4 linked regions of the Danio rerio genome follow. The protein of the gene in region 1 purifies or fractionates together with the protein of each later gene. This does not show direct contact. Links are inferred from orthologs where the notes say so. Each region holds a gene or a part of one and is shown on either strand. Other genes may lie near its edges.

The links.
Region 2: the proteins of hif1ab (region 1) and sumo1 purify together in Homo sapiens (co-immunoprecipitation; 3 studies listed by BioGRID and IntAct, with this or other methods). This does not show direct contact. The link is inferred for Danio rerio from reciprocal best matches to the Homo sapiens genes HIF1A and SUMO1.
Region 3: the proteins of hif1ab (region 1) and fasn purify together in Homo sapiens (affinity purification with western blotting; 3 studies listed by BioGRID and IntAct, with this or other methods). This does not show direct contact. The link is inferred for Danio rerio from reciprocal best matches to the Homo sapiens genes HIF1A and FASN.
Region 4: the proteins of hif1ab (region 1) and septin9b purify together in Homo sapiens (affinity purification with western blotting; 4 studies listed by BioGRID and IntAct, with this or other methods). This does not show direct contact. The link is inferred for Danio rerio from reciprocal best matches to the Homo sapiens genes HIF1A and SEPTIN9.

Annotation. Positions count from the first base shown.
Region 1 is NC_133195.1:22,870,840-22,879,174, forward strand, and holds part of hif1ab (hypoxia inducible factor 1 subunit alpha b), read right to left. Parts: intron 7,241-8,335; coding exon 7,134-7,240; intron 6,998-7,133; coding exon 6,850-6,997; intron 6,270-6,849; coding exon 6,013-6,269; intron 3,588-6,012; coding exon 3,361-3,587; intron 3,247-3,360; coding exon 3,124-3,246; intron 2,781-3,123; coding exon 2,446-2,780; intron 1,759-2,445; coding exon 1,668-1,758; intron 1,546-1,667; coding exon 1,428-1,545; intron 1-1,427.
Region 2 is NC_133181.1:10,601,312-10,610,381, reverse strand, and holds the start of sumo1 (small ubiquitin-related modifier 1), read right to left. Parts: upstream 5,768-9,070; 5' UTR 5,666-5,767; coding exon 5,654-5,665; intron 4,888-5,653; coding exon 4,816-4,887; intron 4,674-4,815; coding exon 4,596-4,673; intron 841-4,595; coding exon 769-840; intron 1-768. Other genes in the region: nop58 (nucleolar protein 58), read left to right, coding at 7,281-7,325, 8,173-8,249. UniProt on the Homo sapiens protein: Ubiquitin-like protein that can be covalently attached to proteins as a monomer or a lysine-linked polymer.
Region 3 is NC_133187.1:35,341,569-35,349,903, reverse strand, and holds part of fasn (fatty acid synthase), read right to left. Parts: intron 6,798-8,335; coding exon 6,682-6,797; intron 6,515-6,681; coding exon 6,360-6,514; intron 5,114-6,359; coding exon 4,910-5,113; intron 4,493-4,909; coding exon 4,342-4,492; intron 4,258-4,341; coding exon 4,079-4,257; intron 2,705-4,078; coding exon 2,585-2,704; intron 2,495-2,584; coding exon 2,372-2,494; intron 2,277-2,371; coding exon 2,053-2,276; intron 1,955-2,052; coding exon 1,753-1,954; intron 1,170-1,752; coding exon 1,018-1,169; intron 933-1,017; coding exon 841-932; intron 220-840; coding exon 1-219. UniProt on the Homo sapiens protein: Fatty acid synthetase is a multifunctional enzyme that catalyzes the de novo biosynthesis of long-chain saturated fatty acids starting from acetyl-CoA and malonyl-CoA in the presence of NADPH.
Region 4 is NC_133181.1:24,956,387-24,963,781, forward strand, and holds the end of septin9b (septin 9b), read right to left. Parts: intron 7,132-7,395; coding exon 7,035-7,131; intron 5,365-7,034; coding exon 5,313-5,364; intron 3,628-5,312; coding exon 3,471-3,627; 3' UTR 3,039-3,470; downstream 1-3,038.

The sequences.
Region 1 (8,335 bases):
AATGTTCCCTTCATGATCCTGTTTTAAATGTTCTGGCACATAATTTGATTAAGATCATTGCGTCACCACGTTTTCTCAAGAGTTTCGTGTATATTGGGGTGTTTCATTTCTTAATTTGTCAACTTTAACTGCAGTTTGGCACTTTCACTATTATTCAGTAACATTTTATGCATGCCCCTGTGACAAACGAGATAATGGATGCGAGTATGAATTACTCAAAGAGTGAGTGTTGTTTTAGTGGAATTTAATTCAACACGCTGTATGGGGGGAAAAACCTCAGCATTTCATGATGCAGGTGTCTGTGGTCCTTCACATACTCAGTAGGTTCAGAGAATAGTGTAAAACAGCTAAGTTTAAAGATTATCCTGTCGCAAATGCAGCGAAAATCCTCCACGATGGTAATAGTTTGATTGCGCTGTTTACATGTCTGTACTGCACTTCAATAATGCCATTAAAATCGGCATAGTCCACATGCCTTAATTCCATTTCTGTTTAGATCTTTTATGACTTTAGTCAGATCATCAGGTAGATCCAGTCAGTTTTGATGAGATATGTGCTTCCCTCAAACAGTAGTAAACAGAAAATCAGTGACAGTTGATTCATCTTTGTGTAATCTCAAAGACACTGACATGTTCTTCACCAGTAAGCCCAAAGGGATTTATAATAAATTAACATTTCATTTCAATACTCCCATGCCAGTTAACAGTATACTTTCTGATTTAAGTGGGTAAATTTAAGCATTTAATATAAAAGACAAGACAGAAAGTAGTAATTGTGTAATTATAAAATTGCCCCTTGTAAATCAATTCCAGGGGGCAAGCATGGCCTACCAGTTGAAAAGGTAATTATAAGAAATGATTGAGAATTGTAAAGTTTATTCATTTTAAAATGGCTTCAAGCCAAACTATCGAGGATTGCATTTGTGCAGCACAATATTAGGAAAATGTGAGATTTTGTTTTGCTGTGATAGGAATATAATTTCACCAGACGATTTGAATAGCTCTACTTAGAAGGATTAAGTACATTTAGATGGACCAGGGTAATCAAGTCTTTTTCTATGCACTGCATCTGCATAAAGTTAAATAAATTACAAGCATATATAAATACAACAGTTCAACGATAACAGTTTAAGAAACAGTGCTTTATGGTTTTCTGAGTAGTCTAATAGTGTTCAAATACAGAAATTGAACAATCAAATGTAAAATAACATGGTCATCATTGTATAAATAATTTTATACGATAATATTTAATAATATCTTTACATTTGAATATTTATTAAGTAATCTAGTACTTTTTATCCATTGCAAAAGCAATGCTCAAACAAAATATTATTCAGCCCTACTTTTCATTTGAATGTACTTGAAAATCACTTTACACACAAAAAAAAAATCAATAAAAGCATCAGTGATAATAGTCCAGTCACTCACCAGAGGGCAGTATGAGAATTGTTTTGTTTCCCCCGAGCACACTGGACCCTTTCACCTCTAAAACCTTCGCTCTCTTTCCAGGGTCTATAGCACTGTCCACACTGTGAAGCAAAGCCCCCTGCAGGAAGCAGATAAACCATCAGACTGGCATAACTATGCAGGACTCATTCAGTAACTTTTTGCATCACAGTTTTATTTGTCTTTACAAAAATAAATTGTTGTTTAAAACTTCATACTGACCAGTCCAACAGCTTCAGAAAGCGACGTCACTTCGTTTAGCTTCCTCTTACGCTGGATATTTTGGAAGGCTAACATCTTTGGAGACATTTCTCTGTAAATTGAGTAACAAATAGTAACAAAGTTAGATAATTTAACTTTTAATATAAAAAGATGTACGAATCAATCGCCTGTGCAAAAAATAAGTTCTCTGGAAAACGATAAAGTAAATTAATAAATAAATTATAGTATATCTTTATTCATATATGATATATATATATATATATATATATATATATATATATATATATATATATATATATATATAAATATATATATATAAATATATATATATATATATTTTTTTTTTGATTATTTTTCACAAGGTTTATATGTGGCACTCCAGAGGGTTTGAATGTGTGAAGATTTCATAAGTTGCCTGTTAGGAAGCAATTACTAAATGTTGGCTAAAATGAAGCCCTACAAATACAAATCTTTTCCAGAGACTAGTTAGTCAGTGTTACTGCAAGGTTTGCTATTTTTTTACTTCTGACATAAGCACTTCAAATCATTCGAGAGCAGCAGTACATAAATGACACTGACAAGTCGAAGTTATAAATTTATTTTGTGTGTGTGTGTGTCCATATAGGAAACAAAATGAGTACTGTACCAAACTACATCTCATAAATTGCTCTTATTAAAGCTTAATCTTAATCTTAAAGCTTAATGTGATCCTTCAAAAAAGAACTGATCTAACACAGACAGACTACATTGCATTGGTTTGTGTCGGTGAGAGCTTTACCTGTTGTTGAGCTGACTGCTGCTCTGTGGGGTGCTGGATCGAACAGGTGAGGCATCCCGACTGCCACTGAAGGGCGAGACAGGTGCACTGCACACCTCCTGCAGCAGGTGTAGGGGTGAAGGGGCCCGGGATGACGCCTCCTGCTTCACTGTGCTGCTGGTAGATGAGGCTGGAGATGCTGGCGAGGAGGGTAAGGGTTGGAATAAAGAGCTCATGGCTGACACAGAGTGAGTGGCAGATGGGAGCGGATCCAGTGGAGATGGGATGCGCAGCTGGAAGTCGTCATCCATTGGGATGTAAGGAGCCAGCATCTCTAGGTCGAGATCCTCCATGGGCTAGAGGTCACAGAAATGTGCAAGAGAGATTACAAACCATCTAATGACTGCAAAGTTGTGTATTTTATTTTATTGTTTTATTATAATATTGTTTTTTTTATAATTTATTTTTCTTTCGTTTTCTTTGTAATAATATAAAATAAAAAACTTAGTCTTTTTTATTTGCATATGTACTTATCAAATCTGTAATTGTGTTTTATGTACATGTGTATATATATTCATATTTGCAATATATAAGCAATACTTGACAAGTCATGCCAATAAAGCTCATTTGAATTAGAATTTGATTTTGGGAGAGAGTGAGACAAACAATATGTAGTTAAAATCTTAAATAAAAAGTTACCTGGGTGGAAAAAGGTGTCTTTGCTTCGGTATCAATAGCAAACAGTTTCTCAACCAGGTCGAGTTTAAATTCAGAACTGATGTCTGGTTCCACTGGGAAACCGTAATCCATGGGGCTGTTGGGCTAAGATTGACAAAAAAAAACAACCTAAAGTCAGTGACAGTATCTCATTAACCATTACAAGGGAGCAATTGTTGTTAAATGACCAAGAATAGCAAGCGTTTAATAAGTGTTTACCCCCGAAGAGCCGAGTCCAGATGTGGAGGGTGTGTTTGTGGGGTCTGGCACACGATCAGAGGCAGAGCTGAAAGGGAAGTCCTCTCCTCCAGTCTCTAGTTTGGTCAGAGCTGGGATGGAGTCGCTGGGTGTGAGAGGAGATAGGCTGAGTGGCAGCTTCTCACTGCTGGAAGGCAGCATGACATCATTGTAGAGGGGCACCTCCTTCAGCAGCTGTATGTCAGAATCTGGAGGGAAATGGATACCGGTAATTATTATTGGTAGACCACCAAGGAACTGTGTGTATTTAATATTAGATTTACTTCAGTAAAATTATGAAAGCACATTTCCTGTAATCTCAGATGATTAGTGAATGACAAGAGTTGTTAGTCTTCATAAGATAAAAAGCTGCCAGGGGATTGCATTTAATCCTCTAAAGCAGTGTTTCTCAACTATGTGCCTGGAGGACCACCAACACTGCATGTTTTGGTTATCTACATTGTCTGTCACACCCATTATAGGCCTTTCAGTCTCAGGGAAAATGTGCAGAGCTGGTGGTCTACCAGGAATGTGGTTGAGAAACACTGCTCTAAAGATACACACTCTTGAAATGTTTATGGTCAGTAATACAGAGTTCACACCAATTGCAAGTTGAAGTATTCACATGAGTAGATTACATCCAAATTCAATGCAAAATTCTGTTAAACATAAAAGATGACTTTAGCAGAGTATAGGAAGTTGGTAGCCATTAGCTATGTAACAAACCTAGATTATCGCATAAAATGTGTGTATAAAGCAGCGTTTCCATCAAAGCGAACAAAATAGTCATTTCCTGATTAACTGGCACCAAATATCAACCAAAAAAAAAAACGAACTTGCTGGAGTAGAAGAAGCTGTGTCAATCTTCTCTTCATCTAATAAATGATTTGCACCTTAGAAGGCAATCCTGACACGCAATGAATGCGCAGTGGCGTTTGAAGGTGTGAGACACGAAGCACAGACGCTCTTGATTCTGGAGGTCATTAATAATATAATAACACTAATACTTAAACGGTAAGGCAATTTAGAATGACCAAAACAACATTTCAGCTGTTTTATATTGTGCTCAGCCAGCTGGTTTGTCCATTTACAAACATTTTCATCACATGATCTCTTATAACAGAATCACATGACCATTTTTAATGCTCATAATGAAATTTGTGCGGTAAAAGTGTTTTCATCGTAGTTTACACTTCTTTTCTTATCGAATAACAAGTTTATCCTACTCAGTTAAGCGCATAAGTTCATGCGCATTTTCAAAATGTATGCGCATCGTGGCGTTTCCATCAATCGTTTTTTTTTTTTTTTTTTTTAAATAGGTGGATCGAAGCATAGCTACTGACTTACATTGTAGGAAAATAAATACCGTTTAAGTCAAATGATACTAGTTTCCATCATTCAATAAAGAAACAAACATTTTTTTCTTCCATTCAGCATGCGGTATGAACTTCCATTACAACAACTCTTCCAGCAGTTCATAGTTGCATCCAACATCTCGTTTGTCATCGGGGGCATGCACGAATGAAAGTGAAAGTGCCAAACCGCAGTTAAAGTTGACAAATTAACAATAAAACACCCGAAATTACATGAAACTTCGGAGGAAATGCGGATAATGCGGTGACGCAATGACGGTAATCTAAGTATGTGCTATAACATGTAAAATGTGATCATGAAAGAAACTTTCAAAAAGCAACTCATGTAAACGCCTTTATCTTATTATTGTAGATTAAGGCAAATAATTCGATTACTGATGTCCATGTAAACATAGTCAGTGAAGTCTCTTACGTTGCAACAGAAATTTATTCTCTAAATAGACGTGCATTTGAACTTTCTACTCATTAAAACATTACAATTTTCAACAATGACTACAATAAATATTTCTTGAGCGAAAATCTGCATCTTAGAAATGACTTCCAAAGAATCCTGTTAAACTCTAAAAGCATACATCCCTGTTCATACATCCCCCAAATTACACTTTAAAGGTTTGTTTATGTTTAATGCCATGCCAGGTTCTTTGGTTATTTTCATGGCGAGAAAATATCAACTGACTGCAGTAAAGCTTAAGTATTTTTTCATTTATTGCTAAAATCTCTTAAACCATATTCGGTTTAACAGTGATAAAAATGTATTCAAAAGTAGCATAGTGGAACTAAATAAAAAAATGTCTCAAAGAATTAAAGCCAACACAAACTGTGTTGAGAGAGAACATGCTTCACAGATAAAGTGCTTTTGCAAAGACAACAGATTGGAGGATCTACTCCTACAGGTGAAAAACATACTGGGAGTATCTATAATTGTACTAAAAAACTGCGTGTCATCTTTGATTGACCCATTCTACAGTGGGTATAAACAACTTGATTCCACCAGTTAGAAATTTTAAGGTTTCTTTATCAATATTGGGGCTAATTTCACAGAGTTCACTTTAACTGTAAAAAATTAAAACTATAGACTAGAAGTGTTAATAAACATTGCAGGAATGTCCCTTAAGACTAATCTAGATGTGAATATATAAAAAGATATGTGCATCTTTGCTCATGGATCTTTTAATAAGCTCTCATTGAAACTGAATGAATTTAGGTGGCTTCCAGTTACTCTCAAATTACTGAAAAAATGTACCCATCCAGCAAGAATTACCTGAGTTGTTGAAGTCCAGAGAGATAATGGCGTCGCCTGCTGCAGGTGCCAACACAGTGAGGGCCTCTGGCTCCTCTTTCAGCTTATTATAAAGTGTAGAGCTTTCCAATGAGCAATTGAGGCTTTCTGGCTTGAAGAGCTTGAGAATATCCAATTCAGAGGTCTTTTCCTCAGTCTCCTCACTTTCTTTCTCAACAGCCTTGGGCTCAGTCACGGTCTGCTGCAAGGACAGGACTACATCCCCCTCTACAATGCCACTGGATAAGACAGAGTAGTAAAGTTGAAAATATGAGTTAATTAGCATTTATGCATACATTTTACATAGAAACGCACAATATATCATTTCAGAATCAATATCACAAGTGAATCCACAATAGTTCTATTGCAGGACCTGCAATGTCAAATTAGGATTATAGTTGACCAGGAACCACAGGAGTTTTCAAATACATGATTTGTAAAGTCATTGCTAATTTGAACTTTAAAGGTACAAAAAGTTTAACATTTGTATGTTTTTAAGGCCTGTGACAAATGTATTTCTATATTTTACATGATTTGATTATTATATTTTCGTCAGAATTCTGTTTGACTCATAGAAATAACATAATGTTGTGCCCCACTGTATTTATCAATGCTTGTGGCTGATTTATTGAATATTTTGTACAAATGCACTCCTCTAAAAATGATTGTTTCCAAATACAGTCATTCATTTCATCTGTTGAAGTATACAACAAATCGTGATATGTATAGCAGAAAAATAAAATTTAGCACTGTGAATGTTCTTATAAGAATATGCACAAAAAGCTTCACAATATTTTGTTTCTAAAACAGAATCCATACCTGAGAACGTAGTTGACGCACACAATGCATTGCGGCTGAGAATTCTTGGGGTTGTAGATTACAGTGGCCTGAGTCTCAACCCACACAAAACCACCTTTCTTAGCCAGCATGCGGTACTGGCCTGTGGTGGCCTGGCCCTTTGCAAACACTGCAGAGACATAAGGCTTTCCAATTAAAAGGCATTCGCATGACACCTTCTGTATCAGCTTTACATTAAAGTCAAACTTGAATCAAGATCAGGTAGACAACTAAACAACTTTATTGAACTGATAAGCTTCACTCACGGTTGTGATGTGTCTTGGTGAGGTGATCTGAATCAAGGGCGTGATAGTACTCGTAGACTGATCTGTTCAAGAGGTCATCTGGCTCATATCCCATCAGCTCAGTGATCCTTTGGGAAAGAGTGAGAAGATTGAGCGTACAAAGCATTTAGTAGCCACATGCTGAAAAACTGCCCATTTGCCAAATCCTGTAACCATTAAGTCATTGGGTTATTAACAGTTTCAAACAGGACACTTCTCTGTTATGCTTTGTAACTCTTTTAAAGTTCTTGCAATATACCACATATTATATTTAACTAGGACTTGTATCTACCCTAATGCAATGCACGGAGTTGAACATCAGAGTACTGTATCAAAGTTTATTTAAAAATAAAGATTTTAATATTTTATTGTTAGGATAAACTCTGCAATAAGTTTACATTTTTGTGTCGGCCCAATAGCCTAGTGGTAAGCGGAAAAAAAATCTTTTTTAAAACAATCATTTTTGTTACATATTTGACCTGTTTTTCTTTTTTTTGTTCTTGCGTGTATTGTGTTTACAGGCTGCTCTTATTAGTTTAGCATACTAAAGTCTTCTGGGGTTAGTACATATGGCAAATAAATTTCTTGACTTGACTTTTCCCAAACTCTATTTGAAATATGTTTAATGGCTTTATTTAACAGGGTAAACTTTACAGTAAGTTTCCATCAGTAATTGTCTGTTACTCATGATCAACAGTAACTAACAACGACTGAAAGGCTAATAATAAAATAAATGTTCACTGCGAGCTCAAGTTCATTAAATAGCATAAACAGATTCTAATACTAATAGATAACTACTACATATAAGATATTAATAAGCAAATGAGTATGCAAAGTATTTTTTATTCATCTTAATTTGTTCATTACATTTAACTATTGATTATGTAAAGTATTTATGACAAATATCAAATCAGTTTCAAGTAATATATGACGAATTGAGAAAGAGGTATTAAGGGTTATGGTTAGTTTGAGATTTAGTAAATAGTTATTACCATACTTGCATACATACATGAAAACGTTTATTCATAATTAGTAGAACCTTAAAATACACTAATAGCTTCTGCCACTAGGTGGTGCTAACAACCCAGTAAAGTTAAAACCGCAGGCTTTTGTGCTGACACTAAACGGGTTCTGCAGCATTGCTTTTATTCAAAGAGATGTAAACAAAAAGATTCAGGCTTGCA
Region 2 (9,070 bases), on another chromosome or scaffold:
GCTGACAAATCTACAGCAACTGTGGGATGTTATCATGTCAATATGGACCAAAATCTCTGAAGAATATTTCCAGTACCTTGTTAAATCTACGCCACAAAGGATTAAGGCAGTTCTAAAGGCAAAAGGGTCAAATCCGGTAATTGTAAGGTGTACCTAATAAAGTGGCCAGTGAGTGTATATATAGTTTGTTAGGATAAAACAATATCTGCCCAAGATACAAATATTTTAAATCTTTTTACAAAGATATACTGAGAAATTAACAGTTTTATTACATTCTTAGGAATCCACAATTACACATTTTAAGTGTGACATATTAACAGCAGAAATGTACAAAATATATTATATAGCATGGGATTTTTAACTATAACTCAATAAAATTATGGAATTTTATATCAGCATTTTAAGCAATTGCCAAAAATTTTCATTCAAATTGACACTCAATGTTTGAACAAGAGTTTATATTTACATGCGTTAGTATTTCCATGTTGTAACTCAACACATCATCCTCACTGCAGAGCAGCTGGACCCTTATTTAATATAGTGATGGTTGATTTCTTTTAACATCACATAGTTTTTTGTTAATGCGGTTGATGGCATGTCATGCAACTTGTCCATGTCGACATCTGGAAAATTAAGCTAATTTTACCAAGTGATGATTAATGGCAAAAAACTGGATTTAATTAGCTGCATGGTCTATGACATTCACAACACAAGGGATATCCGTCTTTTCCTTATTGCAGTTGTTCTAATGGAACTGTGTGCTTGTACCTCTTTGGGGGTCAGGTTGTCTGTGATTCTCTGTCCCTCAAAGAGAAACCTTAGAGAGTTCACGGGTACACCCTGCAACAAATAAAACACAATGTCAAAATAGAAACATCTGAAATTAACTTCACTTATGATGCCTGAACGTATGGCAGCATATGTTCATGTCTACTGCAGAGCTCAGGGGTTACACATTTCCCATTTCAAAATTCCAGATTTTTTCAGACAAGTTTGATGCGTGTCACTTTGCACGAACTGAAAATACAGACTACTACTTAAATACAGGCTTACGCTTGATAGGCTTTTAAACTAGCACTGACTGCTAACGTTATAAAATAACAGTCACTATTTACCACTATAAATTTACAGATAAAATGATTTATTATGGGGCATTATCATCACACCATCCAAACTGTCACCCACATAACTTGACATAATTTTAAGTAATACATTTAGTACATAATACAGTCACGTGTGCATTTTGAGTGCAGATCCACCCTCACATGTTGGTCTGTTTCCACTGAGCGGTACGGTTTAGTATAAGGTACGGTTCGGTATGCTTCTTTGTCCGTTTCATTGTCAAAAGATAGCAAAAAGCAAATCGTACAATACCATACCACGTTTTGGGAAGTAATAATTAACTTATACCTAATAAGTATGTAATAATGAATAAGTATAAATAATCAACTTGAGCTCATGCTGATAACGTACGGATTCTTACAGTCTTTCAGAAATGGACAGACCCCAGAGTAACGCTAACAAAAAACAGCAAATGACAAACAAACAAGCAAATGATTCTTTCAGCGACCCAAAACACAAATAAACTGGGATGTTTAATTATGATCAACACCTTTTAGACTATAATGAACTCGGAATGACAGAATTAACAAGAGTTACATGTGCTGGTAAGGAATAAAGAAACAAATGAGAGGGTTGCACTGACTATGTTTTGTATTGTTGTTTTTTTTTTACTCAAATAAGGCCTAAATGTACATTTTGGGTAATTTTTTTGTAAATTTGTAATGGAGACTGTAAGGATCTGTATATGTTCACATTGCATTTTATTGCGGATGTTAAAAGTTCATAGAAAGGTTAGTAATTACATTTTTTTACATAAGTATTTATGTGTATTGACCTTATTCTAAAATGCGGAAGTGCGCCTGATTTCACGATTGTCTTAGAACTTCCGTTTCAGTCGCCTATGGGAGAAATGACAAGGAATTATAAACGGCAAAAAACGGTCAAACTACTTGCTCTACAAACAAATGTTTGCATGACTACACAGACCAAGTAGAATAAAATAACAAGGAAATATCAGTTTGCAACATCAAACAGCGAAACGAGCAGTTTTTAATGTCTAAAAATGAATGGAAGTGAATGAGACCGGAAGTCTCGTGCCAAAAAAGATTCAAATGGCAGCGCCCACTCGTCTGCGGAGAATAAGGTCAATAAAGCACCTGTTTTGTGAGAAGTGCTTCTCATATGATATGTGAACGACCCATATGGCTTTACTTTTAGTTGAGTGACATGATGTAGACTGCAACTTTCTGCCTCCATGCCTACTACTAAAAGGGTACCATTTGGCAGTGGAGACACAAGCCTGATAAAGGTTACCCACACCGTACTGATCTATACCACACTGTATGATTTGGTTGAATTGGTTTTCTTAAAAAAAACAGTAAATAAAGAGTAAATGAATGAGAATAAACTTAAAGACTAAATACATTCACCTCCAACACACTGTAATCAATCTTTAGATATGGAACAAATATAAAACAGCAAAGTAAAGTCAGATGTAAACGATCGCACACTCTCGTTATCAGTTTCTAATCAGAGTAATGTGGAGCTGAACATTTTTACATTAAAAATACACACTTTTAAAAATGACAAACAGCGGTGTGTAATGAAAATACAAGACTTGAATTCATTCAGTTGTTCTAAACTTCTCAAATCGTTTTGTTTAAAGCAAATTCTGATATTGTCTTTGTGCATTTTCTAGAATAATGGTGCTGTTCACAAAACCATCGCCAACCAACTAAGATCACAATTTCCTTCATTACAAAAATAGTTCAGCAATTCAGTGTTATTCCAAATATACATCCATACATCTTATAGCAAACATTCACAAACAGCATCACACACTTGGTTGGTTGGAGCTACACCTCTAGAGCTGTAGTTAGATGCAGAGTTCCAGGCTGTGTTCTATTCTGAATCATCCACCCTATGCCCTTGTCCATTTGAACACAAATACTCTGAATCATTTAAAAACATTAAAGGTTGTCTTGTTCACATTTTATATTAAAGTTATTCTTATTACAGTTCAGTTTATAAACTTCAAATTGACAACTGTGCTATCTCCATAGTGCACTCCCATAACATTTATGCCATTTTAAACGCAGCAGTGACTCGTGAAGAAAGCTACATTTACAATCAAAAACCTGTTTACACACTTCCAGCAACTGTTAAAACAAACATTTAAGGTAATGATTTTAACTTGTATAGAAAATTGATCTCTAATATACTGTAAAAATGCTATGGTCCACACATTTCTTTTACATGGCCCATCATAAATTGATTAAACTTAATTTTTTTTCATAAATTTAAGTGGGCTTAACTTAAAACAATTAAGTTGTCCTCAAGAACACAAGTTTCAGCTAATTATATATAAGTACTTTGAACAAGCCGCAAAAGTCTTTTTTTTTAGTGTATATGATATATGCAACATTTCTGCAGTGGTTTGAGTGTTTATAAAACTGTAATAGTAATTTATTTAAATACAAAAATATACTTTTGTAAAATGTAATTTCTGAAACATGTAACTTTATAAGCAACAGATAAATATAAATATATTTTTTACATCTTTGACCATATACATATATATATATATATATATATATATATATATATATATATTTCAGAATTAGATTGCATGTCATTATATAATGGGTTTATGTTTTATTTATAATAGCAGAGAGTATGATATGGAATATTGTCAATAATATTTGTAAAAGAAAGTAAATACTTGTGTCGTTGCGTTTCATTTAAGAAAGCAGAGATAAAGAAAAGCCGAGGCAAGCAAACTAAATGTTTATTACCAAAACTCATAATGGGTAAAAATATATATATATATCCTGTGTGTAACAATATTTTCTGTACCAAAACTAAAAGCATCTATTAATGTGAATTTCCTCTTAATAAATTGTTACTCCACCCCCTTTAGATGATCATTACAGACGTTTTATGTTTTAACTAACATGGTTCAAATAATTGATCTGAAAGAGAGAATAAACTGTCCAGGGGTCTCATTTATAAACATGGTATACACAAAATTGGGGGTGGAAACACGTGTACGCCACTTCTTATACAGGTTATTATGATCTATAAAAAACAAACTTGACGGGAGAATGTGCGCAGCTTTAAGTAAACACATTTCGCTTAAATATTGACTTAATTCAAGCACTTTAAATCATCATAAAAGCCATAATAATTAATAAATAAATAAAAATGTATTCTGGTGTACATTCACTTTTAGGAAAGTTTCTATGCAATGTTTTATAAATGAGACCTCAGGAACCTTAACTGAAACATACACAACTATTTAAACATTGTTTTTTGTTTCGGCAATGACGCATTAATTTGATCACAGTTAAGATTTTTACAGTGTTAGTGTATTTCTATTTGTAACAATACTCACAATAATACAGATTTTATGCATTTTTGATTGAATAAAAGTAGCATTAGTGCGTTTTTTAAAAATCCTACCCACCCCCCAAAACCTCTGAATGGTAGTGTAGATTTATCGTTATCCCTCATAAATGGAAAAACTGACTCACCTGTCTCTGACTGTAGGATTCCTTCAGCTTCTTTAAATGTGTCGTCATCTTCACTTTAAAGTGAATTTCACTGTTGTCCTGCGAAATGAAAGGAAATCATCAAATCTGTTCAGATCTTTTCATATATCTCATTATAAAAGAACAGCTGGATTGGTTTTAAACAGTAATGGGTTTAAATATGAAAACCTGCATTTCCTAGAAAACAAGTGCTTTTGCTCACCTGACCGATCACTTTGAGTTTAATGTACTCTCCATCCTTCTTCTCGCCTCCATCACTTGAGGGCTTGGTCTCCTATTAAAACAAAACAAGCATTCGATTACTGCATGTCATATTGTTTTTTTATCAGATTTAATGTAATGAATTAAAAAAATATCTTGGGACTGAATTCAATAAAATATTGACTGAAGATCGTATAAAATAAGGTAGATCCGATTTTAATAAATTATAATTATATATATATATATATATATATATATATATATATATATATATATATATATATATATATATTATATATAAAATAATATTGTGAGTGTTGTTATCATTTAAACACTAGGCTGTGTGTGTGTGTGTGTGTGCTTTGAATGTAAACACACAACCTAACGTTACTCTTCTATCGCGAGCTGTTAATACGAGCACAAACCGAACACAAACTAACGTGAACAAATAACGAATAATCCTAATGAACATATCAAAAAATCAACAATTAATAACTAATTCAAATGTTCAGCATGGTCTATCAGCTCAAGATATTATGAACTCTGCTTTCAGGGCCCAGAGCAGCTAACTAGCACACATGCTAATTGGACGATTTGAGGAAGAAATTCACATATTTTTGGCATTTGTGAACACAGTAAATTGGACTAATGTGTAAATTGCGAGAACCAGAAACTATGCACAGTTAAAAACACTCAAGCATTTTTATCAAAAATACTTTCCAAACCACAGTCAGCTAGACAGGCTAAAAGCTGGGCCCTCTTATTTTCATTTTCTATAAGTCCGTCTTTCTCGTCTGCTCTCATGAAAGTTCGATTCAGCATCACAGGTTTAGACTCACCGTGTCTGACATGATATTCCGCAATGTGCAGCCCTTCTGTAGATCAAGATTGTTTGATTTAAACGATACAGTGTTATGTACAGTAATGAGAGGTTTTGATAGTGCTACCAGCAGACCCACAACACAGCGCCGTTGACGTCATTGGAAAGGGGCTGGACTTTCTATGACACTGGGTCGATGACCCAACGAGCGTTGTTTTTCTCACCACGCTCTTTCTGATTGGCTCCAATCGCCATCTGCGATGTTGCTATTGGTAAAACATAGGGAGGCCCGTATTTTGCAAAAAAAAAAAAAAAAAAAACACATCAGTATTTTGGTCACGAAATATTAGAGTGCAAAAATAATGTGACAACTACACTACACCTCTGGAGGACGAAACCTGCAAAAGCAACAAATAAATAAATACGCAAATAAATAAATTAATTAACACATGTACAAATTCCTTCATAAATAAAACAGTAAATAAATACGCAAATAAATAAATAAATAAATGACTAAATATATACACAAGTTCCTACATAAATAAAATAATTAATAAATAACTACACGAATAAATGAATAAATACTCAAATCCCTGTGTAAATAAAACAATAAATAAATAAATACACAAAAAATAAATAAATACAAATTCTTGCATAAATAAAACAATAAATAAATAAATACACAAATAAATTAATAAATAAATAGACAAATTCCTGCATAAATAAAACAATAAATAAACATGCTAAATAAATAAACAAATGTACAAAATAAATACACAAATTAAAAAGATAAAAAATAAAAAGCAATGAATAAATAAAGTAAATAAATAAAGCAATAAATAAATAAAACAATAAATTAATATGCAAATAAAAAATCAATTAGTTAATAAATTCGCAAATTCCTGCATAAATAAAACAATAAATCGTTTATTTTATGTATTTATAACTTTTAATGCCATAGATTTTAAAAAAGACATTAAGACTAATTCAGTGGATCAAAGGTAATATAAAAAATCTGTATAATGTTACTGAACATTTTATTTCAAATACAGTTTCTTCTGAGAATTTTAGAAAGCTGAATGTATTGTGTATTTAACAGAAATATCAAGCAGAATTATTATTAATCATAGAGCACCAAGTAAAATTGACCATAACAAATTCTGAACTCTCATTGGAATATTAAACATATTTACATACAACAATACAGATATTTAAAATTGAAATAATATTTCATATTATAATTGTTTATTCATCTTTTTGTCTAAAACATTTAAATATCTTTTTTTTTTACAAAACTTTTGTTTAGTATATTATTATTATCATCATCATCATCATCATCATCATCATCATCATCATCATCATCATCATCATCATCATCCTCATTATTTGGAATATGACATTATCCAAAATATTGTCTCTACACACTTTGAATATAAAACTCGAAAACTGAAAATCAACACGAGGTGATGGTGCATGAAAATGAGGCTGAGACTACTGCACATGCGCACATTTCACTGGCAGTATTGCGCATGCTCGTCCTGTCCCATGTGCGCCTCGTGGAGAGAGCGACTTCTTGTAGCGGAAGGCTCTCGGTCTCGGGAGCTCGACCTTAAACTTTATTCAGAGCAAGAAAAGCTGTTTCAAAAATGTTAGTGTTATTTGAAACTGCCGCCGGCTATGCCATTTTTAAGGTAAGCTCATTTTTTTGTGTTAATTAAATGTATTTGTAGCCGTTTTCTTGCAGTTGTGTAGCTTTTACGGTTACACTTAGCTAGCCGGCGAAGTTAGCAGTGCTGTCCGAGACTTTCAAAAAGACAAAACGTACAATCTAAGGATTTTTATTAATGCAAATGCTGTTAGTACATATGTAATTTTGTAGCTCACTCGTTTTTCCCCAGTGCGGTGTGTCAATGAGGGTAAAGCGGGTCTCATGTGGCCTGCTCTGCAGCACAGCCACGTTGTGTCTTCAGCGCTTTTTCTACACTCACTGTTAGTCGAGTTTGGACTGTTTTTAAAGTAGTCAAGATGATAAAATATAATTTAGTAGTTGCAAAACAGATGCAACAAATGTATTTACATATTTAATTAAATCTTATGAAGATATTTACTGTTTAAATGCACCTCGCCACTATAGCTCATGTTTCCACATGGTCGCTCAGCGTATAACGTTAGAGGTAACGTTAAAGTTGGTTTTATATTTTCACTTTCGCACATTCTCCTTAAATTAAGTTCAGAAAAGTATCATTTACAAATTCTGATTGGTAAAATTATATTAGTAGTCAATGGCTTATCAACGTATAACATTGTTCACAGTCGATTAATTGGTGCTTATGTTGCTTTAAGGCATACTTCAATGCGATTTCAGACCCAACACTCAAAGTACCATGATAAACAATATAGGGAATATTAAATGAATGACTGCGAATATAAAACCAACTTTACCTCAATGCTTAGTGTCGACCGCTTGAAGGCTTTAAGTAAGTCTAGTATTTAGATGGTGTCTGTGCACTTTAATCAACAGCTTTTTCTGTTGTCCAGGTCCTGGATGAACAGAAGCTCCAGCAGGTGGACAGCCTGTGGAAGGAGTTTGAGACGCCGGAAAAAGCCAACAAAGTGTGAGTTTTACAGTAGAAATGTGTAATATTATATTTAATGTTGCCTTGTCTCAGAAATGTCCTTGATTTGATGATGTTTAAGTCGAATTTTTGATAATATAGTTTATAAATAAGGAACCAAACATGCTTTAAGACCTTTGACACATATAATATTAAATTATTATTTTTTTATATATATTACTTTATCGATATAGTCATGTTTTATTTTCAGGTAATTTTGGACAATGTATGGCGTTTCATTTGGTGTCAACAATGCTTTAATCTCTATGAAGATTGTATAAGTGTCAACTTCTGTGAATTATTTTTACATGCTCCCCATTGACAAGTTGTACATTGTACACTAGGGGTGCAACAAATCAATATAATCACGGTTTCTGTATGGTATGGTTTGTGCTATGCTTAGAAAAAAATGACTACAGAACAATTCAAAGAACAATAAACATATTTATTGATGAACAAACACCTGACAATGCAATAGCTTTACACACATGACCTTAGATTTGCATGTTCTTGCATTAAATAAAAGTAGGGCATTTTGAAAATTGTATGTTCAAATAAACTGCTAAGAAAATAGAGAAAGCTTTAATTTTTCTATTTTACATCTCCACTCAACAGTCTCAACCAATTATGCTAATAATTGTCAACACATATTCGTAATTGGGCACTTTTAAAGTATTGATTACTTCTGTTTACATGATGCTTGCATTTCTAAGACAACAACACATTTTTATTTATGATTTCTTAATGAATTTATTATGATTCCAGAGGGCTCCTTTACACTTACTAGCACCATCGTAGTGAATGAAACTAAAGCAGAGAGA
Region 3 (8,335 bases), on another chromosome or scaffold:
TCGTTGCCACCCATGGTCTCCAAAACGACACCCACGTCTCCAATGGCACCCCATTGTACGGCCAGGCCTGGCAGGTTTTCTTGACGGCGCTGTTCACAGATTCGCTCCATGGTGGAGTTGGCGAAGCCGTAGTTGCTTTGGCCGGCATTACCACGACCACAGCTGACAGAGGAAAACACCACAAACTGCTGGAGCTGCGGGCACTTCTGCCTAGTCACACTGTGGAAAAGGAGCAATTTTTTTAAATTCAACACATTAAAAAAAATTATAAAAATTACAAAATTTAAGATGATATCAGCAAAAAAAAAAAGTTCAATTTCATAATGCAAACAGTATTATTAATAATCATTTACACACTTTTGTACTAAAAATATTCATATAATAAATATATAACATATATAATACATAAATAAAATGTATATACAAAAAAATGTATATGAAATCTTTAAAAAATATAGGCTAAAGAACTATTGTTACTCATATATAATATAACATAATATAGTATAATATAATATAATATAATATAATAATATAATATAATATAATATAATATAATATAATATAATATAATATAATATAATATAATATAATATAATATAATATAATATAATATAATATAATATAATATAAAGTAATATAATATAATATAATATAATATAATATATAATCAAAAACATAATCATACATTTTTTGCATAAAAACGCTGCCTGGAATCATAAAAAAAGATTTATAATCTACTAAAATACACTCAAACACTCAACATTATTACAAAATTACAAAAAGTTTTACCTTCAATGTTCTAAAATTGATCATCATCCACAATAGGATGTGTCATCTCACCTGTCGAGATTGATGGTTCCATCATATTTCGGTCTGTTGACTTCAATGAACTCCTGTGGGGTCAGATTCTCCAGCATACCATCTTTAAGGACCTATATTACAGATGGAAATGTCACAAGTGCACTGTCTGTCTATTGACTAAATGAATGTAAACTAATAGCAATAACTGTATGTTACCATGGCCAGGTGGAAGATGCCGCCAACTGGACCCAAGCGGCAGGCCTCAGTGATGAGCCGTTCTGTGCCATCCAGGGTGCTGACATCACTGGTGGACACGAGGACCTGGATGCCCATGGCCTGCCACTCACGAACACGCTTGGCCTGATAACCTTCAAACAAAACACCAAAGTGTTACCCTAATCAGTGCTATTGTATTATTCACATTCTATCAATATAGTGGTAATTTTTATTTTGCTTATTGTTAGTTTTAATTTTTTAATTTTAAGTTTTAATAATTTTGTGACAATTTTATTTTTATTAATATTAATTAATTTTTTTATTTATTTATCTTTAATTATTGTTTAATTATGTATCATTAATATATTATTATACATATATTAGATTTATTTTTGGTGTCTTTGGCCTTTGTGACAGGACAGTAGTTAAATAAAAAGTGATGTTGGATCTATGTCATAATATATTGTATATATTTTTTCTTTTTCTATATGTATTTATGCTTATATATATGGTTATTTAACAAAGTTATTTCATTTTAGTTTAAGTAACTGCTGTACTCAAAATTGTTGCTTCATGAACTAATTGAAAAGTTTTTTTTCCATCTAATATTTATATTTAATTTCACCTTTAACTCAGTTTTTGAAGTAAAATAAAATTTTAAGTATCTAAAGTTTTAGCTAACTATCACTAACCCACACCGTCATGAAAACTGGTCAATCTCCAGTGTATGTTTACCGTTGCGGATGCCAGACCGTGACGTCAGCACCAGTTTACGAGCTCCTCTCTCTGTGAGCCACTGGGCCAGTTCCAGCCCGAAGCCACCCAGGCCTCCAGTGATGATGTACGATAGAGAAGCGGGACAGAAAGTTCGGCAGATTGCAGGGATAGAGAGAGCAGACACTGCAGGACCAGAGCTGCTTGACTCCTCTGAACGCACCTGAGAGGTTACAAAGTCAAAAAAAAAATAAAAATCTTAACATCCAACATCTCATTTCTCGTTTTATAGGCACACTCATGAACGTTTACCATCTTTACCTGTAGCAGCACTTTTCCGATGTGTTTGCCTTGAGCCATGTAGCGGAAAGCTTCCTCCACTTGGTTTCTCTCAAAGACTGTGGTACGCAACGGCTGAACAACTCCACTGGAGATTCCCTTCTTCAGCAGATCAGACACCTCTTCCCATTCCCTGTTCCCTTCTTCAAACAAAGCATCAAGCAGGATCCCATGGAAAGCCACGTTCTTTAGGAACAGAGCCATACCTGAAGTGGAAGCGATTGGATCATTGCATTTTTAAATAGTGAGGTGGAAAAGTACAAATAATAGACTGAAGAAGATCGTTGATTGATTCCTCTACCTAGTGGTGTGTTGTTGGAAAGATCATATTTGCCAATCTCCAGAAAACGGCCATGTCTAGCCAAACAACGCAAGCTGGCCTGCAGCTTTTCTTCAGCAAGAGAGTTTAGTACCAAGTCTACTCCTGAAGACACATTTACAAACAGTTGATTAATATTTCAATCCACAACAAGGCTGTTCTGTATTCGGAGTCATTGTCATACAGTCAGTTCACCTTTGCCCTGAGTGTTGAGCATTACGTGCTGCTCAAATGAAGAATCCCTGGAGTTGGCAAAAGATTCAGCTGTAAGTTGTGGGAATCTTTCCTGCAGATACTGCTTCTTCTCTTTAGAGCCTGGAAATTAAATTGAGACAAATATTTTCATTTGGAATTAGAAAAGAGATCCAACCAGGGTCCCAATGGACATATGTGCAACTTTTGGCTGATACAGTTAACCAATATATAAGCCAGTAAATACAATACAAATAGGTATCATCAACTTTATATATACATTTTTCTGGGCCTGATTACAAACACAAATTAGAAATAAATGCATTGGAAGGGATTTGGAAGGGATTATTTGAACTATAAATGCAGATAGCAAGGACCTAGAAGGTCATCTAGATCTTTTCCTTACCAAAATCATTACAAATTGCACTTTTAAAATCTACTTTTTTTTAAAGGTGTAAGCTGAGAGATTATTATATACTATTCCTTCTATGCAAATGAAGGACTACTGAGACATTCCAAGCAGGGGATGGGTCCTCCTGGTGTGGCAGTGTGCATCACAGCTCTAATACAAAATACAAATCTGCCATTTGCTTACAGTAATGATGTGCTTTTCACTAGACACAATTAATCTGCTTGTGATCTTCCTTCATATAACTTCTTCATGTTTGGAGTCATTTGACAGTTTATGATTTAAGCGGTGTAGTGATGAAATTAACAGAGAGGTTGATTATTTGTATTTCAATATACAATATATTCAAAATAGTTGAGTCATGGCCTGAGGAGAGTATATTAAAGTACTTCTCCCCCATTTTATCTCCTCAACTTTGCTCTCATGTTCAACTGGTTTTGGGGGTTAGTTTTCACTCATGTTTGACAATGCTTTGCTCAGGGTATAAAAAGGAAAGGTAAATGTTGATCTGGGAGAATGGCTTTTCCTCTGCGTCTCCCGCACACCGATGTGTAGCCTCATATGCTAACAAAGGCAGTTTCACTGTCTTTGTTGCTCAGCAGTGCATATGTTACAGCTAAATTCTCCATACAGCATGTTAGTTTGTTTCATTCTACTGTCTGTGCATTTAAACATGTAACTTAATAAACAACTTTGCCTGCTTTAGGGCGTTGAGATCCTTTCTCTTTATCAATGATGATAACAACTTTAATGGAGCCAGACTAATTACAATGGAGTCAGATAAATAATCGATTTAAACACACAATCCTTCAACTGCTTTCTGTTCTCGATTATTGGTTCAGAATAGCAGCGTAAGCTTCAAGCCTTATGCAGATGAAAAACTCTCACACTGCTGACATCTCATCTTCCCTCAAGCATGAACTCTCTGTGTTTTCTACTGTAACTTATATTAATTTTACTGTAAAGACATTTTTATGGCCCCAAAAGATCATTATGCACTACAAGAAATGTATAAACCACAACAGGACTCTAATAATCACGCTATAATGTTCATTGTTAAACATTTAAACTAGAAGTGTCCCACTCACCCACAGTTGTGAAGACTCGACAGCGCATGCTAAGTGCAATAGCAATTGCGGCCTGTCCCACTCCTCCAGAGCCTGAATGGATCAGCACACTTTCTCCAGGCCTCAGCCGGCCTCGCACCACCAGGGAATAATATGCGGTGGCATACACCACTGGCACAGAGGCAGCCTGCTCCAATGTCCTGCACAAAAACAGAGCTTCACTTAGACATCAAGACATTTTGAACCTAAATAAAATAAGCTTTTAGAATTCCAGATTGCCTCACCAGCTGGATGGAACGTCCCAAAGGAAGCGTTTGTCTGCATCCACACAGGTGGCAAGGCCTTTAGCTGGCAGCAAACCCATTACACGTCGCCCACTGGGGTCTCGCCCTGAAAACTCCATTCCCAGCATGCACTGCTGCAGCGCTACGTCTCCTGCATTGGTAGAAACATAAAGTTTCTTTAAATATACCATGAAGTGCTTTGAAATATGAATTTTTATTTGAGGTTTAACGCAAACTTAACAGAAACACAAAGAGAAGGTGGGACATAGTGTAGCTCCTCCCTTTTTAAAAAACGGCCAATAGCGTTTTGTTTTATCACCAATTTGCCAGTTAGAGTGGTTGAGGTCAAGTGCATCAAATGAAAAGCAAATTAAAAGCGTCTTGAAGGGGGCGGGGCATGTCAGACAGTAGAGAGCATTTTATTGGTTATGATTTGATGAGAAACTGAGGTATGGATAAAACCTTTTTTCACCTTAAAAAAAGGTGACGTGGATAAAACCATTAATCCATTAAGGTAAAGCTAACGTACAAGCTCTCACTTATAGCCCAAAAAGGATGGGGTACAAACCAGGGATGGCATCTGGAGGCAGTTTGCCAGTGGCCAGCATGATGTCTCTGAAGTTGAGGGAGGAGTAGTAAACGCGGCAGAGCTGCACGTTGGGACTGGACGCGACAAAATGACGCAGTGGGGAAGCGATCCAGCGCAGAGATGAGAGGTCACCACGAGTCAGGACGTTCACGTAAGCCTGCTCCGTCAACTCCTCGCTGAGATCTAAACGTGAATGCACAGTACAGAAAATAATCATATCACACAATTTAGAGTCAAAAGTTTCAATGTAGAGATACATGCAAATTGTTGGTAAAAGTTTTCCAAGTTCTAACAATTTTTTAAATGTATAATTATGTTTATATAATTTTCACAATAATACAGACATAACAATACATCTTCAAAAGACACTCAAAAAAATCTAAACAAAACAAGAGAGGAAAAAAAGGGAAAAGGGAAAAAAAAAAGGTCAAATAAAACCGATCAGAAAAAAGGGTTAAAAATCACTGTTTATTTTCCAGATAATAATACGATTACAATAGTCCTTTTTAATATGATGGGACAAAAACTATATTCCAAATAATTCAAATACACTAACTGATCACTTTATTAGGTACAGCTTACTAGTATTGGCGTGGACCCCATTTTACCTTCCATATTGACATGATAGCATTAGGATGCATCCATTCTTTCATGTTATTGATGTCAAATTCTAATCCTACCATCTGAATGCAGCAGAAATTGAGACTCAGACCAGGAAACGTTTTTCCAATCATCTATTGTCCAATTATGGTCGGCCTGTGCGAATTGTCCCTTTAGTTTTCTCTTCTTAGCTGACAGGAGTGGATTCCGGTTTGGTCTTCTGCTACTGTAGCCCATCGACCTCAGGGTTGGACATGTTGTGCGTTTAGAGATGCTCTTCTGCATACTTCGGTTGTAACTAGTGGTTATTTGAGTTACTGTTGCCTTTCTATCAGCTTGAACCAGTCTGGCCATTTTCATCTGACCTCTGGCTTGTCTTTTTTGGACCATTCTCTGTAAACCCTAGAGATGGTTGTGCATGAAAATCCCAGAAGATCAGCACTGAAATACTTCAGCCCGTTTGGCACCAATCCCCCTGCCATGTTCAAAGTCACTTAAATCACCTTTCTTCCCCATTCTGATGCTTCGTTTAAACAGCAGCAGATCGTCTTGACCATGTCTACATGCCTAAATGCATTGAGTTGCAGCTATGTGATTGGCTGATTAGAAATTTGCATTAACGAGCAGTTGGACAGGTGTACCTAATAAAGTGGCCGGTGAGTGTATACAACTTAAAAAAATAATGTTCTACACATTTTAATCATTTAAAGTATAATAATATTTAATATAATAACCTTATTATTTTATATGTTTTAATACGTACATGTTAATTAAATGTACATAAAATACACAATCTTTAAATAAGCCACTGAAAGTCTTTTCATTTTACCTTGTGTTAACAACTGGTGTCTAAAAACACCCCAGAGTCCATCCCGGTGCACATTCATAACCAGGTCCTTCTTTAATAATGCCTTCATGACCTTTTCATTAGGAAGAAGGGAGGGAACAGCAGCACCCTTACTTAAATTAGAAACAAATGTACACCTATTGAGAAAGGAGAAAAAAAAAACATTTACATGAATACTATTTATATATACACACATGCACATTTGCAGTAAATATTAAACAACGCTCAAGTCAAATGTTTAAGTCTTGTTTCACAAATATAGCATTACAGTAGTTCACGGTATGTGGAAAATAAGTGGACGGACCGTATACGGTTGCCTCCAGGCTCCTGTCTGAGGCAGTTCACCATTCCCACCACTCCATTATGGCCCTTGGTGGCAATGAGCCAAACTGGGATATCAGATGACTCAGCTAAAGTGCTCTAATGAGAAAGAGGGAGACAGAAAGCTTTAGAGGCATGCTTTAGGATTCGTTTAATGAGCCTACTGTTTGGATTTAGCATGCAGCTTGGCGACTGCATAGTATTATTGGTGGCTTTCACAACACCACTAATGAGTCTGCGTGATTAAACTTGTGATAAAACACAAGTAGAGAGACATCTTTACAACCATACTGTGACGTACATCTGAGGCCTTGTTTATACCTGGTATTAAGATGTGTTTTTGCAAGTGGAGAACACTAAATATATGTGTGTATATATAATGTTTTGAGCTTGTCAACATTTGATCAAATAGAAAATCCATTAGATTATATTTTTTCATAGTGTAGATTCAAGTAGTTGATCATTTGAACAGCCACAAAAGGCATAGTCGTTATTGGATGTGTTGTGAGAAAGCATATCAAAACAAAGAATATCATATTTCACTGCTTCGTATCAAAATACAAGTAATACAAACAAAATAGTAGCTGCCACACACATATTTATCTGCTTTAACTTTGCTGTTCTCTTACTTGGTAACTTGAGTTTGTTCATTTAATATAAGCAAACACTTCCATAAAAACGATGTACAAAAGATGTTATGAAATCAGATGGAAAAATCTCAATGAAAACCAAACAAGTCGTTGCAGAACACAAATTAAAAGGATTCAGTTCACCCAAAACAGAAAATTTTGACATCGTTTATGCACCATTGACTTTTCAGATGGAGTTTCTTTTTTCTTTTGAAAAAGAAGATATTTTGAGAAATGTTAGAAACTAGTAAGAGTTGATATCCAAAGCAGGAAAAATATCCTATGGAAGTCAATGGTTACCAGTTTCCAACATTTATTATAATATATATTTTTTTGGTTTGAGAGAAAAAAGAAACTCAAAAGTTTGGAACCACTTGAGGCAGAGTAAATGCATTTTTTATTTTTGGGTGCTCTATGGCCTTATCGTTTAATAAAAATGTAGGGGAGGGACCAAGACTATGCACCATTTAATTGTGTTAAAAACATAGGTGTTGCTCTCCAAAATTAAAGTATGCTTTGGTCTGCGTTCCATTCTGAACAGCTTCATCCCTATGGGATTTTGTAGAAGAGGTGACCAAAAAATAAATAAATAAATATAAATCAATGTGAATGACAACTTAATAAAAATAAATCCTGGCTGTTTCTAAATTCCAAGAACGCAGAGAACAGACTTGCATTCTTGTGGAGACTGGTCTAGCCAAGTTACCTCGGAAGAACGAATTCAGGAGATTGGGAGAACAGAGAACCTGTGCTCTGAAAAATGAGATGCTGCAGTCTTCCCTGGTTCTTCCTGTTGGTCACATGACCTTCACGCGTTTTTAATGGATAACGATTTAAACAATACAGCATTTATACAACGATTTATTGTTTTTACCCTTTTCATAATAAATACTATGCATGAAAGCCCTACAAATACACATTGCACAATACAAATAAAACTAACTTTAATACAAATCTCAGCAAATAAACACCCTAAATGTGTTTATGCTTTTATTAAGATTTTCATGG
Region 4 (7,395 bases), on another chromosome or scaffold:
GTTTCAACCCTCATTTCAACCCTCAGACATTGACAGCCCACTCTCCAAGGATCGTGAGGATGGAAGCGCACGCAGATCGGGCAGAAAAAGGTGCCCTCCAGGACTGCGTGAGCTTACTGTGCATTTTCAGAAAGAAGGAAACAGGAGGCTTAGAAGTTTTTGCCTTCTTAGCATCCTCCACATAACACCCATTTAGTTGAGCCGGCCGTGGGGCTCGAGGATAAACCATCACAAGACCTACGGCCGAAGCAGCCCAGGAAAGCATGGCCATCAAGTCTGCTTCTCAATATGACACTGGGATGGATCGCCCTTTTGTAAGAGCGAGCCGCAATCTTAACTACGCAACAAACATGCCATCGCAATGATAGCATGCACTGTCGTAAGCACCGCATCAACATGCTTGACCCCCAGACATGAAACGCAGTGCTCGTGCCCTTCATCCGGTGACAGGAAACCACCGCATCCAGAAACGCACGGTCAAAGCGACATCTTAAAAAAGGCTGCACAACCGTGTTGCTCTTTTAGAAAAACTTACCGCTTGGGAGGACCGGACCCAAAGAAAACAAGAGAGAAACCCAGCTCGACCGTCTGCCGCCACGCATCAAACACTCTGAACCACGAGAAGCAGCCTGCTTTCTGTTCTGTCTCTCTGTGAAGATTCACTTGGAGAAAACCCTCAAAGACTCTCTCAGAAGCTTTGTAAATGGCTCTGAAAGTGAAAAGGATGTCTAGCATGGCAGGAGCTGCGTCTTTATAACTCGTTTAAGTGTAATTGACACCAGCTGTGCATGCTGATGCCACCAAATCATTAACATTGGCCTGTTTCTATACTCTTTCAGATGATTGGATTCTGACAAAATCCCCATAGTGGAAGTTTTCAACATAGCATTTTGGTTTTCCACATAGTATTGAAGTTCCCCTCCCGAAGGAGTACTTTGAGACATTCTAGCAACCCAGGGGTACAACATATAACCTCTTGCGAGGTATGTTCTCACTCAGGATGTTGTGAACTTGTCGAAGGTCTGCTCAATGTTGTCCATCTGATTTTAGGATGGTTGCAAAGGTGTTGTTAGGTGGTTGCTGGGGTGTTCTCACATGCTGCTAGGAGGTTGCTAGTTGGTTGTTAGGGTGCTTTGAGTGGTTACTATGTGCATGCTAAGGTGTTGCTAAGTGGTTGCTAGGGTGTTGCAAAGTGGTTGCTAGGCTGTGTTCTGAATGGTTGCTAGGCAGTTGCTAAGTCATTACTTGGGAATTGCTAGGGTGTTCTTAGTGGTCACTAAAGCTGTTGCCAGCCAATTGCTAAGGCATTGCTAGGGTTTTCTACAAAATTTACACTTGGCGCTATGATGTGTCAAAATTGGGCATAATGTGATTTTGTCAATGGACCCTTATAAAAGTCATTGAAATAAGAAGAAGGAGAAGAATCTTGCCCATTTTAATATTAATTTTGTGATACTCCTAAATAATGTAAATTGTGTTTTAATTAAATAAACTGTAAATTAAATAATAATATTATAGACAATATATTTGTTCATTTAAATCTTTATTAAGACTAAGAAAGAATCATATGCAAAGGTTACAACAATAAAAATAGCAATCTTTATTTTTTTTTTCCAGATCTACAGTAATATAAATTTTACCTTTACTACATCAAAATACAATGGGTGTACAATATTCACAAAATAATTATTTAAAATGTGTACATATAATTTCTTTGGCCATACTGGGCATACATATGTCATTTCATAAAATACTGGCTGAATAGTATTATGTGAATATTAGTTTGTTTGAAACTTGGTAACAGATTTTCATTAATATCAGCTGCAAAATACACATTGACACATTGTATTTTTTGACAGTCATATCAATATAGGAACCTGAGAGAAGAATCTTTAAAATCAGGTTAAAACTGCATAAGATGTACAACCAAGTAAGATTAAACTATGCAAGCAAATGGGCTAAAATCTAAATTGTGTCCAAATTTTATTTTCTTATATAATAAAAAATGTCAGCATGTATACTGGACACATTATGATTGCTAAGCAATCATTTCAATCAGCCAATTTACTGCTAGCCTATATTGTTAATTGATCATTGATGCAAGTTTTGGACACTTAATTTGCACAAATTGTTTATAAATGTGTATCCATGACTTTTTTCTGTTTTATATAATGCAAAATCCTCCATGAACTTTTGTGAGGGGCTAAAATATCCAAAACTGTTCAGAATCAGTGACAACATGAAACACTATATAAACAAATAAAGGTCATACTGTATACAGCCTATTACAGAACACAGATAGTGATTAGAATGGCTCAGGACTTGCTTTACTGAATACTAATATCTGCAAAGAAACGAATGGAGAAAAACACAGATGTACAGATGCTTGGGTCACTGTGGTAATTCTAGAACTCTTTACATTTTACCTACAAAAGCCACAACATCCAAGTAACATGATGCCATTTATAAATATATAAATGTTCACAAATTAAACTAAGTTTGCTTTTCTTCAAATAATAATAAAAAACTATGGATTCCACATACATAGGCTTTTACAAAAAATTGACACTTAATAATAAAATAAAATATGCTCTTTGAAAATGGAACAAGGACAGAAATTATAGAATGGGTAATAATACACCACAAGATTGATTTATTACAGAAAAGGGAGATTGTAAAACCAAACTGTCTGCACTCTGTTTAAATGGTATTTATACAACACTTTCATATATTTCAACACTTTCATGTTTTTCCATATAACACTCATAATCGGGATCATACATCCTGTCATGCGACTACATACTGTAAACCAAAGTCCTGCTCTTTACATTTGGACAACTCGAAAATTTCAAATGCTCTAAAACTTGATAGGGGTGGTGGATTTTACACTGTAAGTTTTCTCAATTCTACAAGCAACAGCTACATTTTCTTTGTCAAGTTGCAGTTTTAACACAAAACCATCTGTGTTATCTGTAATAATTATGTGTGAGAGCTTTAAATTGATAGTTCACCCAAAATGGCAATTCTGTTTTACTATCTTTTACTCACCCTGGATTTAGATTTTTTATTTTGAATATCTTGGAAACCTGTAACCACTGACTTTCACAATAGGAAAGAACAACAACAAACAGTACATTTCATAACATTTTGTTTTGTGTTTAACAGATAAAATAATAATAATAATAATTTTTTTGGGTGATCGATCCAACGCTGAGTATCATGGCATGTTAAACTTGACAAGCCATTGCTCCAGCTCACTTAACAATTACCATAAAAACACTATAATAAAACTCTCATCACAGAACATTACATTTTGCTACACACCTAAAGAAAAAAATCCTCAGAAATTTTTGATGTTATAAAAGAACAGTCAAAGATTACAAACGGGCAGATGGAAAAAAGTACAGTGAACTGAGGAAGAGAAATAGATAGATGGACGGACTGATGTATTGAAATATAGTTAGAGACATTTACATCTCATGGGAGAGAACTTCATGCTCAGGTACACCATTGGTGTGGATTGCTGGTTGTCCATTTGGTTTGGTGTTATTCTCATTGAGTCTGCGAACGCGGTACATCTCGTAATGGATGCTGCTTGTAATATCTTTAATATTCTGCATGTGAGTCCTAGAAATGGGAAAACACAAAGAAAAAGGGACCTTGAAAGATTTTTACTAGTAAATTGCTAACTTGATTCATAATTTGTTAACACTACATTATAAGACATTAGCAAGCAGTTCATTAATACCGTTACAAATGCTGTATTATTGACTTGTACATGTTTAATGTTTTTAATGATTGTACATACATACTTTCATAATGAATAATTTTTCATTACTAAATTAATTATTGTATGATTAACGTTTGTTAGGCATTAACTTTACATTATAAGACATTACGAAGCAGTTTATAAATTCAACAACAAATGCTGTATTATTGATGTAGAAGCATATTTATAGTGGGAAATGAGTTTATCAGAAAGAATTTGTTTATGATTAGCAATATTCAAATAAAAATTGTTATACCCTATTTAGGCATATGGCTACCCTGCATGTCAATAAATGCTTTATTAACACAACATCATGCAGTTTTGTAATTTATGCTTTATAAGTATACACAAATAAAACTCTAATATGCAAAATAAATCTTTGCAAATCTTATCTAAATATAAAATTACTGTAAAGTTTAAACATCACTAATTAACACTGAAATTAATAGTGTTATACTGTTATATTATTATATTATTTTATTGTTCTTCTGATAAAAAAGTTTATATTTTTTATTTGGCTGTTTACAGTAATGTACAATTGTACAGTCATTTTTTTTTAGATACGAAGGCAAATATTTATTTTTCATTCAATATGGTACCTTTTATTTTCGTTTATAAGTGATTTAAAAAGTATAAATAGTTATCACTTTAATAAATGTGGTAATAAAGCATTTATTAACATACATAGTAACCATTACAATATGCATGAATAATACATAGATTTTGAACAATATACATTTTGATTTGAATATTTTATTAATCGTTTACTAATCTTAAAATCCACCAACTACTCATAAATACAAATAGTTTTTAAATCATTCAATACTTAATATAGTACTAAAAATCAGTCAGAATCAAAATATGAAAGTACAATTATTAAGTACATTATACTTGTGCTTATAAGTAGAGTCAGACTGAATCTGCCGACACTTTTTGCTATTTCTGCGTAGAATTGTGTAAAAAAAATGTGGATTTTTGCTAAATGAATGTAAAACCTTAAATTAATATATATAAAATAACAAAATATACCTTTTAACTTGTATTTAATGTTTACAATGCAAATTAAATTAGATCTACTTAATTAGTAAAGAAGTCTCTTATATAATATATCTACTATAAAAAGGAAATATTACTTTGTTTACTTTTTATTTTATTTATTTACTTTAGAACTGCATTGTAAATAAATTGAATGAACATTTTTACATTAGTCAATAATATAAATATAATAAACACACATTTACACAAGTAAATAAATAGACTCAGTGATGGTCTTAAATTCTGTTTAAATCTGTATTTCTGCACACGCACATTCCATGTGGACCTACTTATAAGTAAAAAATACAGCATTTTTAGCTGTTTTTTTAAACTGCTTGGTAAAGTCTTATAATGTAGAGTTAATGCTTAACTAATGATGAACTGTCAGCTAATGCTTAATAAATGATTCATAATGTGCAGCCATTATAGTGTTAATTACCAGTACGAGTAATGGAATTTTAAGCATATAATCATTGACAAAGAAATTAGTTGTTGAATTGTTGAGTACCTGATGAGAAGGTCCCGCAAGTAAGCAAACTCGCAATGTGTGGTGTTCTCAACTGAAAGAAAAAAAGAAAAAAACGATCAAATATATTAAAATAATAATTTAAAAGAAGATTTTTTGAAGTGTTTTAGAGAGTAGTTCACTTATAAATATCACCTGATTTGTAAGCTAGAATAAATGCATTCCCACTTCCTGTAATTATCCTTTTATTTTTGCATTTATTGGATGACAGATACAAAAATGTTGTGAATACCGGTCTGTTTGTGTTTTGTTTTGTTTGTTTAGCAAGAAGTTAGCATTGCAAGCCAAAGAATCAGAATACTGAGCTTTTAGAGAGCCAGCATGTAATACTATTGCTTGAGTTGTAGTAGCATCCTTTTGCCACTAGATGGTAGTGTTTTATAAAATACAACAAAAAAGAATGAGCAGCAAAATATTTTAATATCATTAAAAATAGGACACTAGGAAATGATCAAAAATGCTTGTACACAAATGAAGTAATGAAATTAGTAAGTGGTAAACAATAAAATCTTGGTTTTGTTGAAAAAAATTTGGTATTGTTGATTAGTTCTACTTAAAAATACAACTATGCATGCCTGAAAATGGAATGAATATTGTTTTCTGTCATCTAACTCAAGGGTAATGATGACTTGAATGTGAGATTATGTTGGAATGAGACTGAAAGCAATTAATGAATTTAAAATTACAGAATAAATACAGAATATTAACTGAAGCACTGTTTTCTGTTTTGTTGTTTACATTTCTTACTCAACACATACTAATCATGTAAGCTACAGTATGTCACATCTTTTGCCTTATTATTAATCAAATTATTTTATTACTCATTGCTCATTGAACCTTCCTCAACTTACAATCGACACCAGAGGTATTGGTCTCCTCCAATAAAAATGCTTGTGAATCTGAACACCATTCTTATGTATATGTACCACACAAATCCATTTTAATAAGACAGTTATTACATGCATTTACTCATTTGTTTTTGCAATGATGACAGTACATAATATTTTACTAGTTATTGTTGGAAGATACTAATATTTAGCCTAAAGTGCAATTTAAACTCTTAATTACAATATAAGCAAGTAAGGCAAGCTATAGGAAAACAGTGTAGACAATAAAACAAAGAAAAACTAAAAATAATGTAAAGATGGATAATAATATTGTCCTAAAACTGATTAAAAATTGCATTTATTCCTGCCAAACAAAAGAAATAAGACTTTTCAAAAATACAACAGTGTGAATTCAAACCAGCAACCTTCTTGCTCTTTGGCGACCATGCTACACATTTATATGTATATATGCTGTGACACTGTAAACATTCTCTTGGTCTGTTAAAATCATTTGGGCCATATTTTTAAAAAGATTACAAATTTCACAGGATAGCTAAAAATTCAACTGTATCAAAATTAAATACATAACAAAATTTAAAACAACAAATATTTTTACAATTGTTCATGATATTTATTACTGTATTTCTGATAAAATACAGAACATGCAGCCTTGGTAAGTAGGATCAGCTTCTTCTTAAAGATCTTACAGATCCCAAAGTTTGGACATACTTTCCCTAAACAAAAGCATGTTTATTTTTAAACCAAGAAGAGGAACACAGGACACTAACCCAACAACAAAGAAAGAACTGAGAGAGAGGATGTGCAAATGTGAGTGTGGTGAATACAAGAAGTGTGTGTGTAAAGATGTAAGCACAACCTTCTACTGTTCCCCATCTTGTTTTCCTGCCCAGAAGTCTTTTTCCGTTGACCTGATATTCTTGATCACTTCCCACCACAGCAAATGGGATCATCTCCTAAAACATACATGAAAGGAGAATGCTCAATATGAAAAAGGCAACACTTGAAATTCAATTCAGTCATCTTTATTTCCGAAACACTGAAGAAAAAGTCTATCGATACACAGCTTCAATAGTCTCCACTCCATTTTTTGTTAGAAATAATACAAAGCTGAACAGAAACAAAATCTAATTCTTTATTAAGTGTAAGACATAAACATTGACTTTTTTTTAAATGCTCGCCACAGTAGGAGTTATTGAATGATATAAAGCTACACATAC